Linked DNA regions of Schizosaccharomyces pombe. Changing the gene in region 2 together with the main gene of any one other region gives a genetic interaction. Each region holds a gene or a part of one and is shown on either strand. Other genes may lie near its edges. The genes, in order: cao2 and SPOM_SPBC1604.16C.

Region 1 (3,936 bases), 530 kb from region 2:
GGAAAATGGATCATACCAAAAGTGTGCCAAACGACGATATCGGTATTCTTAATTTGTGCATTTGGATCATCGGATATCCATTTAGATAACCCCTTAGGCGTATCATCAGAGGCTTGGGGAGCATAATCACCAGTTGGGAAGATTTGGTCGTCCATGTAAGGAGTTACGTAAATATTATTTTCAGCAAAACCTGAACAATCAGAATTCGTAGTACCGGGTTGCGAGAGTACAGGCGATGTGTCTCGAGAAATAAGCTTATATGATACAGGTTTCCCAGAATACGGATGTAACTTATTCAAATTACAGATATCCCAGGTCCTACCGGTAGATGAATCATAGTTGCTGATTGCTTCAGTTACTGTCTCTGGAATAATATATTTTGATACTAGAGTACCATTCTTATCCCTTAATGCATCCACTGTAGCAACTGAATTCCTTAAACCATCAAGCATTGGGTTGATTCGAAGGCAAAATAAGTGCTCATGATTTTCAGCGCTGATCTTTGGATATACTTGTGTTCCATGACCTTTTAAGTCTTCATCTTCATTTATGGCGTTCGTATTCAAAATTCCAGTTAGTCTGATTTCACATTCGATAACTCCATCCATGCGGAAAATCCAGTAAACAAGGTATTCATAGTTGGCAGCAGTAAATACTTGTGAGACTACCAACTTAATACTTCTAGCTGAAATATTTGCATTGCGATCCCTGAGATCAGAATACTTAAAAAGCACACCGTCATCCTCTTCATGGATGCTAATTGCATTTTTTATAGTTGTTATTTCACCACGATAATTAACAAAATCAGCATCCATGTAATGAATAACACCTTCACAACCGCAAGTAAAAGACAAAGGATTTGTTCGGTATCCTACACCATATTCCCCTAAATCATATGCATGCTTTCGGTGATGCGAATGTCCTTTTGCCCCAAAAGGAACCGCCATTTCAGTAAGCGAAATTCGATAAAAAAGAGGGCGAAGGTGCCCATCCTCATTAAAAACTACGTCTGACAAAACAATTCCCTCTCTATAGTTGAACCCAATGTGAAAACAAAAGTTCTGCCATTCGATATAGCGTCCTTTAATACGAAAATTTACACCCTCTGGCTGAGTAATACGGAGTGGTTTAAGCATTTTCATAGCTTCCATCTCCTGCTCAAGCTTTTTCAAATTGTTATCCGAATTTACATCTTGAGGAATAGGACGTCTTACTTTGGGAATATCAATAGCTATCACCTTTTTCTGATCAACATCAATTATAGGACAAAAATCCAGCGGAATGGAACGAAGATGACCACTGTCGCCGGGTTTATAATACATTAAAGCTTGCTGAAGCCTCCGACCAGAACCGTAGCGCTCGTCATAACCAATGGTCCAAGGGTCGCAATAGACGTTAGACAATCCACTTTCAGGAACGCCGCATATTTTGCATTGCTCGATTACATTTGCATCATTTCTTACAATTTCATCAGTAATGGCTAGTAGATCCGCTGTAATTATTGGGCAAGTATCAACGGAATGCTCCCATTTCTCTATTTTTCCAGTAGTAAGGTTGACAATTCCTTCAAATACTCCAGGAACTTCTTTTTCTAGTACAATCACGTAAGCCCTTCTGTCGGGTATACCTTCATGAGCAGAAGAATATCTCCAATGAACGTACTCTTCCTTATGTGGTTCACTTAGCGTAACTACATCAAAAGAAATTTGTTTTTCAGGATAGCTTTTCCGAACGAGGTTTACTACGTATCTTAATTCATTAAAGCTCAATGGGTCCAATGGATCAAAGTACTCTGCAGCTTTACTTTCTTCTGCCATTTTGTTCAATTGAACTCAAATAAAATAAAATTGTCTTCAAATTCTGATAATTCGTTAAATAATTAGTCTTCTTGATAGTTTCACCGAATACTGCCTTGCTATAATATGAAATGTTGTGCCAACATTTAGCGGATACCCTCACTACTTTTATAAAGTACGAAAAATTAGCGTTCCGCCCTCGTGTAAATACCGTACCCGCAACCGATTAGTATGACGAACTGCTGTAAATCCTTACCCGTCTGGTGGGATCATTAATCATACGGGAGTGAAGCTACGATCGTTGGACCCGTAATCTTCGCAATCGCTAATACCTGAAATTGCCCCGTCAATATTCTTTTACAATCTAAATAAATCGATACTGACGCAATGAGCGCACTTACAACCCTAATATATATGCAGTAGCTTGCAATTGAAATGTAGCGTGTATTACAATACTCTTGTCTATGCAATATACAATCAACGTCTTATAATAAACAAATGGAATCCTTATCATTTTCAATAAATCATACTTCCATTGTTCAATAATAAATACAAATTTCTTGCATTTAATGGTTAAAAGTTAATAGCAATGAGGGCTTCCGCAAGTTGAAATGGAAATGAAGGCATTAATTCTTGGGATAACTGAATTGAGAAGCCTTACTTAATGAGTTAAAAAATATAATAACAATAAGTAACAAAAATTCCTTCCATTCATCGGCATCATTATATGCATCATTTTAGCATAAAAAAGTTAATGATTGTGTGTTGCATCCCATGTTGGTCGAGTTTACAGCAATAATTAACAAGACATAATTACTAGTAGCTCGATTCCAGAAACATTCAGATAAAACTGTTATTCTACTAGAATACTAGATAAAAAGGTAGTTGAATTTTCAAGGCTTATTGTTTTGTCAACCTTTAGTCTAGGAAAGCTCTTACAAGAAAGATGTTGACTATTCTCAGTTCAATGTAATGCGCAAATAGTTACATGGACTTGAATTGGTTTGTTTAGTTAATACGTTGATGGTTTATAGTTGAACAAACAATACGAGGGATCGAACTTTTTCGCATATGTCATACTCATAGCATAAACATATATATGTCCTTAACAATCAGAAATTAACAGCTAACACCAAAAAAGTGATTTTCAACAATATTCTTTCAAATGTTAAACTCTTTTTTTATTATTCGCTACCAGTTGAAAGGAACTCAAGATCTGCATTTTTGTTGGAAAAAATGCTTAATTTCAACCTCAGGAAGTATTTGGTGAATAGGTGAAAATAAAGAAGAATCTTTATTTCATACAATTGCAAAAAGTTCCTAAATTTATTCCTATCTTCAATACGAGCGCTACAGTCACTAAACCTACTATATATCCTTAATAGTTATGCCTCAATATTCTAAGGTAGATATTGTTTAAAGTACTTTATTAAGGCACTGCGTGATTTGTACAGTTAATTAATTTTTGAACAATGATTACACTTAGAGTTTAGGTATGACGAAAGGAGCTTACGCCGTCTCAAGTATATAAACAAAATGCCTTCTTGTGCCGGCACATTTCTAGTGCTTGATAGCCAAAGAATTAAATAAAATGCCAGTTAGTGTATCAGATTCTTTTGTATTTCGTAATATCTTTGGAGATGCTGAAATTCGAAAAATTTGGTCAGATGAAAATCGCACTCAAGAATACTTAAACTGGGAAGCTGCGTTAGCAAGGGCAGAAGCATCATTAGGCATAATTCCGAAATATGCTGGTGAGGAAATCCAAAGGGTTTGTAAAGTTGAGAACATAGATTTCTCGAAGCTAGAGGAAGAGACCATTAATATTGGGTATCCAGTTCTTGGAGTAGTTCATCAACTCGCCAATCTATGTAGCGGTGATTCAGGAAAATACTGCCATTGGGGTGCAACTACTCAAGATGTGACGGACAGTGCTACTGTACGACAAATGATCGATAGCTTCAAAATCATAAAGGGCTATCTCGAAAAAGCAATTGAACTTGCAACCGTTCTTGTAATCAAGCATCGTGAAACAACTATGGCTGGTCGTAGCAACCTACAACAGGCGGTTCCAATTACGTTTGGATTTAAAATGGCAAGATTTGTCGCTACATTACGCAGACATCACCAAAGACTTTGT
Region 2 (3,645 bases):
TTTAGTTTAGACGAAGCTGCAAATATTCAAATCCCTATTCAATCTACTTCCGATAATCATACAGTCACTGTTGATCGTTCCCTTTCGAACGATGGCAACCATTGGGGAAGTTTGTCTTCTACAATTTACAATCCCTCATCTTCTCCTCGAACTATTGTTTATTTTGAAAAATTTCCTTGGTTCGTGCGCGTGTACTTACATACTTTAACTATCACTTTGAATGGAACACGTATTAATACTAAAGATTTTATTGAAAAATTGTATTATCAACCGTTAAGAGATCGCAAGGCAGGCACGATGATGGAAATCCAGTTTTCAATACCTCCACATACAAATCTGATTGTTCATTTTAATGTAGAAAAAACACCCTTACGCCTAGACGAATATCCTCCCGATGCAAATCGTGGTTACAATCTTCCTCCAGCAATAATCAGCGTGTTTGATGAAAACAATACCAAGCTTTGTAGCCTACGAACTGCTGCGCTTCTAATGTTCATTCCTACACCAGATTTTAGTATGCCGTATAACGTAATCATATTTACTTCAACAGTTATAGCGCTTACATTTGGGGGTATATTTAATTTGCTTACTCGGCGGTTTGTACCTCAACAATCAAAATTTCAAAACAGGCAGCCCTCCATGTTACAAAGACTAAAAGAAAAAATATTTCATAAGAAAAGAGGGTGATGCTATCCTTAATTAATGTGTTTCCACAACAAAACCTCATGAAAAAAAAACATCCAATTGTGTTTTAACTGAACACTATAGATTTATAACCAATCGACTAAACACTATAAAATATGTACATTCAATGGGACAAATTTAGCACACTTAAAATTGTTAATGACGTTTGGACATATGCAAGAAGGATAAACTCAATTAGACGAAAAATGTTTAATTAAAGCTTCTTTAAGGCGTACATCCTTTGAGTGTTGGATTTGGCACTGACGCTTGCCTTTGCGACATTTATTTACTGCAACTTTCTCCAAATCAATCTTGGTACCGAGTCCAATCGTATCATTTTTTACACGAAATGCTCTAACCGGGGCACGACGACCCTGATTTTCCAAACCCAATCCAGCAGTATCTCCTTGGGGAGACCAACCATACTGAGAAAGAACTCGATAACCAAGGCTTTTTGGTTTTAATAAATGGGGTTGAAATTTGTTTGAAATATGTTGTGAAGAAAGAAGGTGAGTCATTGATTTAAAATGATTAATTTTTTTGCTATTTGGAATGTATATTTGACACACTTCACAAGCAAAACCAGCTTCGTCCCTCTTGCTGTTCATAGTATGCGAATTATCCCTATCATTTTCAAATAACGAATGATAAAATGCTTGTGCCGATCCTTTTTCAATAAAAGTGGCTTCGTCCAACGATTGTTCACTAGTGGCTTTTACGAATGAAACCCTACGACCATTTTTATAAAAACCATAAGAATTTGACAGCTCCATATTTCCTTTATTCTCCATTTTCCATCGTTTTTCGAATAACCATTGTTACCAATTTATCTAGGTTGAAGGTTGGTTAGTAATGAGGAGAGTCTTTCCTTATATGTACCTCAAAGTGGGATTTGCAGGGGTTCAAGCAGTGGCAATATTACATTGTAATCACCGAGTTGCTCAACAGTTATGTTCAATTTTATCAAAGTGAAGAGGTTTTGAAGCGCTTGTACAATTGCATTGTGATGCTCTTGTAAGTTACATCGCATATAATTTCTACTGCAAACCACTAGTGCCATTAATAACTCAACATGGTGTGCAGATATTCGATAACTGTAAATTTCCAATAGTTTTGTTAATATTTCTAAAAAAAAGGAGAGTGTCGATGGTATCTGTATGATTTGTGGGTTTTGTATTATACGACACAGTTCATCCAGAGTCAACTAAGTGCGATTAGTAAACTTTCAAATGTAACGAATTTAAATTATTACCGTTAGGTATGGTAAATAACTAACATTCATTTTGTCAGTTAAAACCATAATTTGAGAAAATGCGGCTTGAAGAATCAGGGGATAATCGAATGCAAACTGAAACACAGAATTAATACCGTTCAGCATAATAGAATTTAAATTTTCATTTTCTTCAGGATAAAGAGAAACTAGGGTTGCGAAGGAGGCATTTATAAGGGTAACACTCGTTTGAATTGTAAATCTTGGCGGTATGAAAGTATAGAATACGAGCAAATCGTCCTTCAAAATTTTTAGAATTCCAGTATATAAAAGAAATTCTCTTTCCGTAATTTTTAACAATCTGTTGACTAGCTCAATTCCTTGTAGTTTAATGTTTGGAGATAAATCATTCAATATTCGGAGTACAGATGGAATGATTCTGTGCCAACATACTTCAATGCTAGAAGAACTTTGCTGATCAATTATCCAAAAAATAAGGTGAGAAATGAGATAATTTTTTGTTTTCCACTTTGGCTCAAGAAGTGCTTTACTTTGATCACTGTGAAATTTGTCTGGTGGTAATTCAAATGCAACCGGTCTACCTTGATCTGTCAACCGTTCTTCTCTATGAAAAAGATTTATTTGATACTTTTCTAGAAGATATAATAAGAATTTTTGTCTAGGAACAGCGCTGAGGATTGAAGTTGAGAGGAATTCTGACAAATTGCGTACAAGTCCATTCTCGATTCCACTTAATGATATTAAAATAGCTAGGATTTCCCAATTGATCTCTTTAACAACATTTTCTATAAACTGTTCTTGAAAAATGCTTAATATCCGGTGAGCGCGCACAACATACGCTTCTTTAATCACTACATCAATCGATTCAGGGTCTGGATGAGTTAATAATTTAATATAAAAAATTGTCGCCGTACCCAGTAAAAACCAACTTTCAGTAGGGCTAATGAACTCTAATAATGGCCTCAAATCTTGTTCATGAACCAACGAGTCCACCTCTACCACCAATTTGTCCAAAAAGTCTATTTGCTATATTTGGTTAAAATTTGAAAATAGTGAATTAAAAACGGTACTTTTTCAAGAGCTTCTTTTTCATTTTTTGATTGTAGAGTATGCAATCGCCTAGCTAGCTCTTTGTAATATTGCATAGATATTGCCAATTTAAACTTCTATTAGATAATTATTAAGTCTAATGTTTTATTATTTGTTTGATTTGTAAACAAAGAATATTAACAGAATTGTAATGTCACTTAGTTATTAGAGAACTTAAATTCTATGAAAAAAGTATTTCATGTTAAGCTATGGTCATACACTAATAATATAAACTTATAGAGTATGTGATATACTGTAAGTTTCTAAGTCGTTGCCAAGAAATCAATTTAATAAATTAACAATTTACTAGTTTTTAAAGGTATAAAAAGCAAAATTTTTAGTAACTAACATCAATTCATTACACAGGTACTTTACCTTATCGCTTTAGCTATATAAGTTCTATTGAGTATATAAGCATTATTGTTTTTTATAGTTATTACCAAGAAAAATGTTTTTATAGTATTCATTTATTCTTTAGTATGTGCATAAATTATTAGTAAACCAAACCATTTCCCGTGAATTTAAGTGATCGTTAAAAAAGGACGTATATAAATTATTGCTCAACCAGCTCAGCTTGAATCTTCTCCGGTTTCGAAGTCTTTTTATCCGAGTCAGTATTAGTAAGGGTAAAAGTATCAGAT

The links.
Region 1: mutations in SPOM_SPBC1604.16C (region 2) and cao2 together harm fitness more than expected from each alone (negative genetic interaction), as found in Schizosaccharomyces pombe (one large-scale study listed by BioGRID).

The regions. Positions count from the first base shown.
Region 1 is NC_003423.3:4,426,803-4,430,738, forward strand, and holds the start of cao2 (Cu(2+) amine oxidase-like protein Cao2), read right to left. Parts: upstream 1,937-3,936; 5' UTR 1,818-1,936; coding exon 1-1,817. Other genes in the region: SPOM_SPBC8E4.05C (fumarate lyase), read left to right, coding at 3,388-3,936. UniProt on the Schizosaccharomyces pombe protein: Copper amine oxidase-like protein that does not show any copper amine oxidase activity. May be the appropriate amine substrate for cao2 has not been identified yet.
Region 2 is NC_003423.3:3,899,462-3,903,106, reverse strand, and holds SPOM_SPBC1604.16C (G-patch type RNA-binding protein), read right to left. Parts: upstream 1,529-3,645; 5' UTR 1,476-1,528; coding exon 876-1,475; 3' UTR 697-875; downstream 1-696. Other genes in the region: gpi16 (pig-T family GPI synthesis protein), read left to right, coding at 1-687; protein Tti2, read right to left, coding at 1,565-1,888, 1,937-2,941, 2,986-3,060; cmp7 (ESCRT III complex subunit), read right to left, coding at 3,558-3,645.